Canis lupus familiaris: one gene and its partners. The protein of the gene in region 1 binds, or shares a complex with, the protein of each later gene. Links are inferred from orthologs where the notes say so. Each region holds a gene or a part of one and is shown on either strand. Other genes may lie near its edges.

Evidence for each region. The genes of interacting proteins can lie anywhere in the genome.
Region 2: SART1 (region 1) and PRPF4 share a complex: the UniProt entries of both Homo sapiens proteins name them as parts of the U4/U6-U5 tri-snRNP complex. The link is inferred for Canis lupus familiaris from reciprocal best matches to the Homo sapiens genes SART1 and PRPF4.
Region 3: the proteins of SART1 (region 1) and UBL5 are in contact, whole or in part, in a crystal structure (PDB 4PYU), measured with the Homo sapiens proteins. The link is inferred for Canis lupus familiaris from reciprocal best matches to the Homo sapiens genes SART1 and UBL5. Residues at the interface, in NP_005137.1 of Homo sapiens: Ser117, Leu118, Ser119, Ile120, Thr123, Leu126, Arg127, Leu130, Leu132, Lys133, Leu135; in NP_001041706.1 of Homo sapiens: Met1, Glu3, Arg15, Lys17, Cys18, Asn19, Asp21, Asp22, Asp26, Lys29, Leu30, Ala33, Gln34.

The regions. Positions count from the first base shown.
Region 1 is NC_049239.1:51,813,363-51,817,590, forward strand, and holds the start of SART1 (U4/U6.U5 tri-snRNP-associated protein 1), read right to left. Parts: upstream 2,801-4,228; 5' UTR 2,736-2,800; coding exon 2,423-2,735; intron 2,226-2,422; exon of another isoform or gene 2,128-2,225; intron 645-2,127; coding exon 587-644; intron 204-586; coding exon 148-203; intron 1-147. Other genes in the region: TSGA10IP (testis-specific protein 10-interacting protein), read right to left, coding at 4,153-4,228. UniProt on the Homo sapiens protein: Plays a role in mRNA splicing as a component of the U4/U6-U5 tri-snRNP, one of the building blocks of the spliceosome. May also bind to DNA.
Region 2 is NC_049232.1:68,050,454-68,054,519, reverse strand, and holds the start of PRPF4 (U4/U6 small nuclear ribonucleoprotein Prp4), read right to left. Parts: upstream 2,801-4,066; 5' UTR 2,673-2,800; coding exon 2,646-2,672; intron 1,698-2,645; coding exon 1,520-1,697; intron 73-1,519; coding exon 1-72. UniProt on the Homo sapiens protein: Plays a role in pre-mRNA splicing as component of the U4/U6-U5 tri-snRNP complex that is involved in spliceosome assembly, and as component of the precatalytic spliceosome (spliceosome B complex).
Region 3 is NC_049241.1:51,569,494-51,572,904, reverse strand, and holds UBL5 (ubiquitin-like protein 5), read left to right. Parts: upstream 1-1,246; 5' UTR 1,247-1,400; intron 1,401-1,672; 5' UTR 1,673-1,683; coding exon 1,684-1,739; intron 1,740-1,932; coding exon 1,933-2,016; intron 2,017-2,167; coding exon 2,168-2,205; intron 2,206-2,712; coding exon 2,713-2,756; 3' UTR 2,757-2,911; downstream 2,912-3,411. UniProt on the Homo sapiens protein: Ubiquitin-like protein that plays a role in cell proliferation and sister chromatid cohesion by associating with spliceosomal proteins. Participates thereby in pre-mRNA splicing by maintaining spliceosome integrity.

The DNA of each region.
Region 1 (4,228 bases):
GTGTGTACACACACACATACACACACATGGCCACTAAATGGTGCTGAACCTGTGCCATAACCCCATCCTCCTCAAAGACCCCTTCAGATGATCTTTCTCCTCCACCCAAATGCCCTCCCTCACCCCCATCCTCAGTCCCACACTCACCCTTCTTGACAGCATTGACTTCCAAGGGTTTCAGCCCCAACTTTGCCCGGAGTTTACTGAGGACAAGAGATACACATGTTAGGAGCTGCCAACAAAATAGGGACATCAGAGACATTTCTGGATAGAGAGTGAAAACAGGATGGAACTGAGAAGTCCTAAGGGTCCCCAAAGCAGAGACTGACCCAGGCAGCCAAGGACATTGGGAAGGATGCTGGCCTCCAAATCAGGGAACACAGGCACTAGGCCTGGCCTGCCCCTAACCAGCAGAAGACCATCTTTCTCTTGGGTCTTAGCGTCTTTTCTGTAACTCAAATGGTTATACGTCATTTCCAATTCCAGTCAGAATGCCTTAGTGTGTGAATGGTCCCCCAGGAAACTGTTCCCAGAAGCCCTCTGTCTCAGAAAATAAAAGTAGAAACATCAGGAAGACAGAACTTACTTGGTCTCCTCGATGCTAAGAGATGAGGCATCTCCTGAGCTACTTTTGGAGCTGGCAGCTGGAACAAGAAGTATAGTTCAGGAGCTGAACAAAGGGCCAACAAACCACATCTTTGGCTCGAGCTCTGCAGGGACCTCCCTTACCCATACCCGGGCCCTACTGAGACACTCGAAAACAGCAACCTTCCTCCATCTCAGTAGCTCCTTCCATCTCAGTCCCAATCTCTTGAGACCCCAACATAACCTTCCTTTCCTGCCCCAAAAGGTCCAACCTTTTTGCAGCCTTCACTCTGCCTCCTCTCCACTTCTGTACATTCTGTTTTCAGCCCACACTGCCCTCCTTGGCCTAACTCTGATAGACGAGATCCTATCCAAATGCTGAGACCAAATGCCACCTCCTTCTGAACTCCTATTTAATTATTGGTCAGAATGAACTGCTCTCTCCTGAACTCCACAGCTCATCACTCACTTCCAGGTCTGTTTCTCCCCACTGGTCAGGGACTGTGTTAGCAGCATGACTGTGTTCTCTGCGCAGTTCATCCAGTCAAGAAATACACTTAATGGTCCCTGTTTTGCGATGGATAGTGAGGATGCTGAGATAAAGTAGCTTTTCAGACTTCCTCTACTCATCTCTCACTCAGCAAGTAACTTCGGAACACAACACACAGACAGAGGCTAGACGCCACCAGATGGAGCTTCCCCACCCAGGTGCTACCACCTGTTCATCCTTCCTGCGTCCCCACTCCATAACCTACCTCTTCCCCTATACCTCACCTGGACCCTGGATCTCAACCTTTCTAGGCTCTCTCCAAGGTCACCAGCCTCCTTATTTCTAAATCCAACGGATTCTTTTCAGCTCGAATTTCCTTTATTTTCTGTGGTGTGTGTGACACCATTGACTATTCTTTGCAACAGACCCCATGACACAAGATTCTATAGTTTTCTTTTCTGGATATTGTACCATCAAGCATTCTTATAGCCTCTTACTCTACCTACTACGAAAATGCTGGCATTTTTAAGGTTCTACTGCCCACTCCTTACTCTCTCGCCAGGCTTCATTTGCCACCTGATTTACTTATGACTTCCAAATTGCTCTATCCAGCCCAAACCCTATCGGTTGCAATGCTCTCCACAACTGAACTCTCTCCCCTCAAAAGTCTGCTTCTCTCCCAAAGTCCTCAATTTCAGGAGACACAACCACCCACCCAGTTGCTCAAACCAAAATTTAAGGAGCCATCCTCATTTCCTTCTTACCCTCACCCAAGTGCTAAGTAAGCTCTAATTCCTCCTCCCAAACGGTTCTTCAATCTGTTCAGGTCTCTCCACCCTCCGCTGCCTCAGCACACGCCACTATCAATCCTCACGTGGCCTCCAGTCTTGACTATTTTTGAACCAGGTCTCAATCTAGGAATCTTTGCAAAATATGATCAACTCATTCCTCAGCTTAAATCCATGGCTCTCTACCACCCTCAAGACAAAATTCAAATTTCTGTAGGGCCCTTTGTGCTCCGACCGGTTTCCTATCTCTGCTATGAACCCTACCCGGTTTGCCCAATATCAGGTTTCTTCTTGGTTCTGCACGAGCTAGAACAACTTCATTGATTCATTCACTCAACAAATAAGGGCCTGTGAGGGGCCAATTTTGAGACAACAGAAAACCTCTGCCCTCGCAGAGGTTAGTAGAGAGAGACAACTTTTAATCCCAAACGGGGAGACTCTCTAATAATTGCTGACGGAGACAGCGTCGGGGAGCCGGGGCGGCAGCGCTCGGCTCGCACCCAGGCCAGACCGCCCGCCCCGGGACGCCCCGCCCCGCCCCCACAGGCCCCGCCCTCACCGGCCTCGTAGCCGTCATCGCGCTTCTCCCGCTTCACGCGCCGCTCTGAGGGCTCAGCCTGGCCGCGCTCCCGCCCGTGCGCGCCGCTGCGTGTCTCGGCTTCGGTCCCGCGCCGCCCGCCCCCGCGCTCGCCCCCACGCTCCCGACTCCGCTTCCGACGTTCGCCACCGCTGCTCCCGCCACCGCCGCTCCGGTGCTTGTGTTTTTTGTGCTCCCGGTGCCGCGGCGGCTGCTCGGTGGCGCCTCCGGTGCTGGCCGCCGCCGTCGTCCCGGCCGCCTCTTTCTCCCCACGGTGCTTCTTTGACGACCCCATGGTGGTACGTCCGCCCCGAGCCCGGCCGCCGCCGAGCCCCGACGACGCAAAATGGGACTACTTCCGGGTCGCCCGGCAGCCGCTGTCGTGTTGCCGGAAACCAAGAGTGGCTGCTTCCGCCGTTCGCCTCGGTGCCTGCCCCGAGGGCTCACGGGAAGGCCGGGGTTGGAGCCCGGCTGCGTGTTTGCGGAGCTGTTGGTCTGGTGGCGGTCTTCGAAGTGCGTGCGTGCGCCGGGTGTAGGGGTTACAGGCCTCCGAACTATAAGCCCTTAAAGCCGGCAATCTGGGAGCTGGAGGCGCCCCCCCCCCCGCCACCAGACGCTCCCTGCCTCACGGGTTTACCGGTTTTACCGTGCACCGCGCCCGCCGCTCCAGTCGGCGTCCTCCCGGTGGGCTCCACCCGCCCCCGCCCCCTCGTCGTGGCTCCATCGGGTGTGGGACGCCGCAGCTTGTTTTGAGACCCAGCCCAGCCTCTGAGCCCCTACACCCGATATTATCAAATGCTGCCTTTCCACCTTACTCGTATTGGGTTCTTTTTTCCTTGTCTTTTGTTTCTTTTTTTTTAAGATCTACTTATTTGAGAGAGCGCGTAAGCGGGAGCGGCAAGGAGAGGGAGACAAGGGCCAGCTGAACCCTGAGATCGTACCTGAGCCGAAACCAAGAGTGGGAGACGCCACCCAGGCACCCCCCTCACCTTGGATTGGGTTTTTAAATCTGTACTTTGAACCCCCAGAAACTGCAAAATTCCACACAGCACGACTGGGTATGTGAGCTCATTCCCACCCCCCTCCTTGGGGGCCCAAATTTGAAGTTACTTAGAAGTTAAAATCCCAAGGCGCATGGGTGGCTCAGTAGTTGAGCGTCTGCCTCTGGCTCAGGTCGTAATCCCGGACCCAGTTCCTGTCGGGCTCCCCAGAGGGAGCCTGCTTCTCCCTTTGGCTACATCTCTGTGTGTCTCATGAATAAACAAAGTCTTTTAAAAAGTAAAATCGCAATTCACATAATTCCTCCTCTGACCCGCAACCCCCAGTTGCTGGGACTGGCGGCCCCTGTGCAAACCACTGGTTACAGTGTAAGATACGTACCCCTTTAAGGATCCAAACCTCCTCCCCTCCCACCCTGAGTTCTCAAAGGCAGAGGCCATTAGGTCCTGTTCCCTCTTGAATTCCTAGGACCCAGCATAAATGTTGGAAATGGGAGTGGAGGAGTCACAGCTGTTGCTCTGTGAGATGATCCACTCAGGAGCAGAAGCAGAGCTGTGTGTGCTGGTGGGGGCAGCTCCACAACCAAAGCTCCTGGGTGATGGGGCAAGCTAAGCCTGCTGCTTCCTGCTACCTCCTACTCCCAACCTGCAGCCTCTTCCCAGCACCACCAGAAATTACACGTTATATTTCCCATAAAGCATTTAATTGTTATCTTAGGGGCTAGACTCTTGACTTGGGCTTGGAGTAGAGTGCCTGTTGGAGTGCCTTCTGGTGGGTTCTGTCTTTGGG
Region 2 (4,066 bases), on another chromosome or scaffold:
TTCTTCTCTCAAACTCAGCTAACACTTCGGCCTGTCGTTCACTGATGTGCTCTTCAATTTCAAACACCTCTCCTATAAGAAGAACAGGTAATATCAGCATTATCACTAGATCTTCAAACAGAGGGGAAAATAATTTCTTACAATTGCAGTCTGTGTATCCTCTAGGAACTAATTTATTACATACTTTATTGTTTCTCAGTTTATTAAATTTTGCTAAACACAAAAAACTAAATGATAGCTCATTTAAAATTACTTAAGTCATCTTTTTTTTTTTTTTTTAAAGATTTTATTTATTTACGAGAGAGAGCGAGAGAGACAGTGCAGGAGTGCAGGGAGGAACAGAGGGAGGAGAAGCAGACTCCCTGTAGAGCAGGGAGCCCAACACAGGGCTCAGAACCTACCACCCTGAGATCGCGACATGAGCCAAAACCAAGAGTTGGACGCTTAACCAACTGAGCCACGCAGGCTTACCTCACATCATCTTGTTTTGACAACCTTACATCTACATACACACATAACTTAGAGGAGATCAGAAAGTAGAAGTACAAAGCACTTTCAGCAAATGAGTTAACTAGATCTTCTATCCAGAAGATAAAATAGATACAGTACTTTAACACTTGCCAAACCTATTCTCTAAACCAGCCCCAGCTGAGGATATCTATGACTTTAACTAGTAAACTGGAGAAAATTACCATTAAAGGGCTTTCCCTTAACTATAGACTTTTTGGATAACCTAGCAGTTAGTTTTAAAACCAACACTGGGGCATCTGGGTGGCTTAGTCGGTTAAGCATCTGCCTTTCGCTCAGGTCATGATCCCATAGTCCTGGGATCGAGTCTCAAGTGAGGCTTCCTGCTCAGTGGGGTATCTGCTTCTCTGCCCCTCCCTGGCTCATGCTCTAATAAATAAATAATAAAATAAATAAATAAAACACACACTGACTATGAGGATTTTTTTTTTTTTAAGTGTGGGTGTGGAGCCCAACTCTGGGCTTGAACTCACAACCTTGGGTGGTTCAGCGGTTGAGCATCTGCCTTCGGCTCAGGACATGATCCTGGAGTCCCAGGATCGAGTCCTGCGTCGGGCTCCCTGCATGGAGCCTGCTTCTCCCTCTGCCTTTGTCTCTGCCTCTCTCTGTCTCTCTCTCTCTCTCATAAAAAATAAATAAAATCTTAAAAAAATAAATAAATAAAATCTTTATGGGATCCCTGGGTGGCTCAGTGGTTTAGAGCCTGCCTTTGGACCAGGGTGGGATCCTGGGGTCGGGTCCCATGTCGGGCTCCCTGTATGGAGCCTGCTTCTGACTCTGCCTATGTTTCTGCCTCTCTCTCTCTCTCTCTGTCTCTCATGAATAAATAAATAAAATCTTAAAAAAAAAAAAAAAAAAAAAGAAAGAAAAAGGCTCTCTAGATGATGCTAACCAGGGTAGGCAAAGGATGGCCTTACATAGATCCAAGTTTAACTAACATTTTTGATATTATAATACAAAGATAAAGAGGGACTCACAATTTGCATCTTACCAGAGGTTATGTTAATATTTCCTGCTTCAATTCCAGCTTTAAGTCCTTCTTTTCCCAAAATCCCAGACTCTCCTTTGGCCAGACGCTCCCTCTCCTTCTCTTCCAAACTTCCGTAATAGATGTGTGGTTTCTTCACAACAGGAGCAACTAAGTCATCAGGTGCCTTAGTTTTGGTTGCCTGATAAATCAAAGACACGGATTAACCTAAGGTCTGATACTAACCACTTATTAGGCTTCCCCCAAAGGATGGAGCTCATCCTGAGCTTCAATCCTATTTTCCCCCCAAATGAAAAGGACAGGTCGGACACCAGTTCAGGTTATCTTCACTGACTGGGGGGCGGGGTGTCTCTCCAAGCTACTTAGGTTCTGCAGACGGGAAGAGGCTAATAGAACTAGTCCATCATTATTCTTGGTAACTTTTCTATCAAAGATTTGCTTTGGAACATGTCTGCATCATTCCGTGGCAACCTCTTCTTGGGTTTTATGAAATTTCCAAGGTTACCCCTCATCACAGGGGCAGTATCAAGGAGAACAACCAACGCAGTATTAAAGGGGGGCAAGTTAGTTACTTTTCGGTACATTTCAAACGTTTTCAGAGTAAGGCAACACATATGAAGTTAGGAGGCCAAACTGCAATGAAGTCTGACACAGACGTGAATCTGGGCCTTCTAGAGCTCAGGTTTTGGAGCAGTCGGAAGAGGTATTTACCGTTCGGGCCTGTAGTGAGGGGTGCAAATGAATTAAAACACGGGAACGGGGGGATCCCTGGGTGGCTCAGCCGTTTAGCGCTGCCTTCGGCCCAGGGCGTGATCCTGGAGTCCAGGGATCGAGTCCCGCATCAGGCTCCCTGCCTTGAGCCTGCTTCTCCTCCCTCTGCCTGTGCCTCTGCCCCTTTCTCTGTGTCTCTCATGAATGAATGAATAAAATCTTTACAAAAATAAAAATAAATAAAACACGGGAACGTACTTCGGGGTCTGGAAAACGCTGCTCCTCTAAGGACCGAGTCTCTCAGCCTTTCACCTCCGACCTCCACCGCCTTAGCCCGTTCCCCGAGGGACCCCATTTCGCAGGAACCGCCCCCCCAGCCCCTTCCGCGCTCCCCGCCAGAGTGAGTGGAGTTCCGTACCGTGGAGGCGGCTCGTGAGGAAGCCATGCTGAGCTCCGCGGCCGCCAAACCCCGGCGAAAGCCGAGCTCTGCGTTTTCAGACCGTCCACCGCGCGCCCGGCAAAGCGGAACTGCGTCACTGGCCGGAAGTGGGCCGACGCAGCGTCGTGGGTGGCGTGGGGCATGACGGGAGTAGTAGTAGGGAAGCGTCGTGGCGCCAAGAGTAGCGTGAACTTAAGGAGAAAAGCACGCGGCGGACGAGACTCTGCAGAGCAGTCTGGGAAGTGTAGTCCCGCTCGCTTAGCTGAAGATTCGCGGTGGGCGCCGCCGGGGTTCCGGGAGGAGGCCGAGCAGGCTTGGAAAGAGGTAGGTGCGTCGGGCCGCGCGGCCGCGGGCTGAGCTCCGGAGCAAATGGAGGGCTTCCGAGGCCTGCCGTGGCCCCCGGCCCCGCGAGGGGCTGCGGTGGGCCCGGAGCGGAGGGCCAGGTTGCCATGGAAACCCTCGCTGTGGGCCCGCGGGTGCCACTCTGCAGCTGGTCGCCCTCCCCGCTGTCGGGAGGTTGTCCCAGGGCCCTCCTTGGAGCGGGCTGAATGCGCAGTGGATTCGGGCGGCGGCCACCAGCTCCCAAGTAGAACGGAGGCCCGGAGGAGGAGCCACGGCCTGCTTTTATTGCTGGTCTTCAGCCGAGTGTTTGTACCGGGGTCGGAGTGAGGCGATGCCTGTCAAGTGCACACGGGCACCTCTGCACGGCCTGGGTACCGCGGGGGCGGGGGGGGGGGCGGGCTGCGGCATCCGACAGGAGCAAGGCCAGGGCTTTCCCCCCTGTCGGGGGTGGAGATGCTTGAAGTTTGGGTGATTCTCGGGCCGGACGGAGGCCCCCCCCCCCCCCCCCAAGGACAATTAGGATGATAATAATAATAATAATAGCTGGTGTTTATTGGGCGTTTACTAAATGCCAAGTTGTGTTCCAGGCACTTACACTGCCGTACCTCACTCAGTCTAGACAACAGAGGGCAGAACATGAGGAAACCAGCGTCCACTGTGAAGATGAAGCTAGTGTCCCAGAGGGTTGGCGTGTGGGATTAGAGCCCCTGCCCTCTGCCCTTGGGCCTCCTGAGCGAGCAGCTTTGCCCATCACTCGGTACTGCCTCCTAGTGGCGAGCTTTACAAAGTTTGCAGAAAAGTGAGGAACCTGTACGGCAGGGTTTTTTTTTTTTTTTTTCCCTCCCCTACTCTCCCTTGGAACTTCGGCTTCCTCTACCATTTGTTTACATCGGACTTAAGAGAGTATCTGATTTATTTCTTTGATTTTACCTTTTTTTTTTTTTTAAAAAGGGAAGATTTTTATTATTAAGTGATTCTACACCCAATGTGGGGCTCAAACTTAGAGCCCCCACATCAAGAGCCCCATCCATGCGCCACCAACTGAGCCAGCCAGGCGC
Region 3 (3,411 bases), on another chromosome or scaffold:
CTCCTTCCTTTGTCACCTTAATCTGGAAGAGAGGGTGTCTATGCCGCAGTGGTAGCCTAGTCCTTAGAGTGTGATCACGAGGTCCTGGGCTCGAGTCCCACATCACGTTCCCCGCAGGGAGCCTGCTTTTCCTTCTGCCTATGTGTCTGCCTCTCTCTGTCTCTCATGAATAAATAAACAAATCTTTTTTAAAAGACAGAGAGACAGAGAAGGTGGATGGAGCAAATCAGAAGCAGCAGCTCATTTTCAGAGCGAATCCCTTTAGGCTCACCAAACTGGGAAAATCCTGTCTGCAGAGAAAGAACAGCCTAATGGTTCCATTGGCAGTGAAGGGGCTGCTCTGGGGCTGAAGGGCAAGGCTGAGATCTGGTACAAGGTGCTCCCTGCAGGGCTGGGGTGACCTTCCTCAATCACACAAACCCGGGTAATCACCCTCTTCTGTCGTTTCCACTCGACTTGCCCATCATGCTGGTTGGCATGCAACTTGGACTCCATTCTAAAGATTGATTGATTGATGAGAGACACAGAGACAGAGGCAGAGACAAGGGCAGAGGGAGAAGCAGGCTCCCTGTGGGGAGCCTGATGCGGGACCCCATCCCAGGATCTGAGCCAAAGGCAGACCCTCAACCACTGGGCCACCTAGGCGGCCCTTTACCCAAAAAAAAAAAAAAAAATGTTTTAAGATTTTTATTTATTCATGAGAGACGCAGAGAGAGAGGCAGAGACAGCAGAGGAGAGAACGGGACTCCGGACTGGTGCGTGCTGGTATCCAGGACGTGATCAGGAGGCCGCTTTGCTGACTGTGGTCTGCGCCCAGGTGTGTGTGTCGGGGTGCAAGGGGGGGAAGCGATGGCCAAAGGGAGGGGTGGGCAAAACGCTTCCAAGTCCCCGCCCCCAGTGAAGGGAGGGGGCCCGAGATGACAGCACGACTTCACCCAGGCTCCTCCTCGCCCTGAAGCTGAGGCTCCACTGAGAGGCTCCATCGGGCTCCGGAACGAAAAGTCACCACCCCCACGGGGCGTCCCCGGGCTCCCCTGATGTTCCCACCAGACGCCACACGAGGCCGCGGCAACCCACACCTTCCGACGGAAGGGGGATCTCTCTGCCCGGCCCCTGACCTCTGACTTTGCTTTCACGCCCCTTCCCCGGCCACGCACAAACCGGGACCCCAACGCGGCCCCACGCACCGACGGGCGAGTATTCTCTGCCCAAACTCGGGACCCCGAAGCGGCGCTCGGAACCTGCCTTGACCGGAAGAAAGCCGGAGCGGTGTTGAGCCGGGAGCGGGGAGGGCGCTTCCGGTTGTTCACTTCCGCTTCCGGCTCTCGGCGTCTACTCTAACCCGGGCTCCGCCCTCGAGCGAGGAGTTTGTGGCGTCGGCGGGTTCCAGGCGATTCGAGGTGAGGGGCTGGTGGGAGAGGCGCAGAGTCGGGGAAAGCGGACGGACCTGGCCATCAAGGGTGTGCGCGTCTGCGAAAGGCGAGGCCGGGCCTTCAGGCGACCTGAGCGGGGAGGCGCGGCCGCCTGGGGTCCGCGGTCCTGGGAGTTGGGGCCTAGGAGGACCGCGAATCTGGGAGGTTGAGGGGTGAACGTAAGACTCAAACCCGGGGTCTTGGCTCTTGGGAGACCCCTGAAGTCCTGACTGCTGCCTTCCACCCCACGCCGTGTGTAGCTCCAGACAGGATGATCGAGGTTGTTTGCAACGACCGTCTAGGGAAGAAGGTCCGCGTTAAGTGCAAGTATCCACCCGCGGCTGAGAGGCAGTGGTTCCTGGGGTGCTTGATGTGAGGCAGGCATCTCCGTGTGTGCTGTAGGGTGACTTTAGTTAAACCCGGGGGAGTGGGCGGGTGGGGGCCTGGCAGGGCGCCTTCAGCCCTGGGATGTCCTCTTCCCCGTTCTCCCTTCCGTTTTCCTTAACTCGTCTGCGCCCAGCACTGATGACACCATCGGGGACCTTAAGAAGCTGATCGCAGCCCAAACTGGCACCCGTTGGAACAAGATCGTCCTGAAGAAGTGGTGAGTGCAGCGGTGGAACTGGGGACTGGATGGGACTGGGCCAGAAGGTTTGGGTGGGGGAGCCCTGTGGGCTTAGGCAGAGCTTCCTCAGCTTGCCTCCTGCATGAAAATCCACCTCAGACTTCAAATTCAAAAGGTTTCTATCCCACAGGTACACGATTTTCAAGGACCACGTGTCTTTGGGGGACTGTATCCTTTGCGTGACTTCTTGAGGAAGGCTCTGTATACCAGACTTGGTTCTCTTTGTTCGGTGCTGGAGTCTGTATGAGATGGTGCACATAAAGTATTTAACTTAGAATGTAGCACACAGTAAGCATTTGGAAAATGGGATCCAAAGAAAAAAGAAAGAAAGAAAATGGAAGCCATGTCATGTTGGTTAGGGGTGGAGGGTGGTTGATGAAATGCTTTGGCTTGGCTTAGAAGAAACTTGAAGGTCTAAATATTTATTACTGATCTCTACCTGAGTGTGGACAAGTGGTCAGGGTGGAGTGAGACTCAGGCATGTCTGTTGTGCAACAGGAGCGTGAACCTTTGTTTTTTTTATAGTTCTGATTCTTTTCAAATCAAAATTGACCTAGTTCAAAATGGCTCCCTTGGCCCTGGGTGGAGCCCTCAGGCCACCCTGACCCACCTGTGCAAGATGAGAGGGTGGAGATGGAGCCCACAGTGAGAGTTCCTTAACGTTTTTTACTTCAGATGAAATCCACGATGGGATGAACCTGGAGCTTTATTACCAATAGAGCAGAATTCCTTCCATTTGTCCTGTCCTGCCTCCCCCCCCACCCCGCTCCTCTCCCCTCCTGTTGGCTCCTCTCCCCTCTTCACTACCATCTCCCCCACACTGATACGGATGCTTGTTTTTAAAAACTCATGTTAATAAAATCTTAGAAGTTGCTTCATTGTTGTCATCTTTGAAGGAGGTCTTTTCTAACGTGGGAGGGTTGTCACTATACTCTCAGTACCCAGCAGCTCAATAAAGAGTTCAGGATCCAACTGGATCAGTGAGGGAAGAGTAAGCCAGCAGCTTGGGAGCCTGAATGGAAGCTCTGGGATTTGCCAAGGGTCTGTGAAGGTCGAGAGATCCGTGGGATTATTGGCATCCTAATAGATCAAGGGGGTCTGGGTAAGGACAGTAGATACAGTAGTTAGGAATACAGGTTCTGGATTCAGACCGACTATGGTTGGAATCCCAGCTCTGCCACTGCTGTGATCCTGGGCCAGGGTAGTTAATGCCTTCATTTCCTTATCCAAACTGGAACTGATAGTGTTTACTTAATTGCCTTGTTGTGAAATGTGTAGATGAGCTAAAGCATGATTAAGCAGCCACAGTTCCTTGGATTTTGGAAATTCAAGTGAACAGAGACTGTGGTTTAGGCTAGGCTTTGATCATTAGTG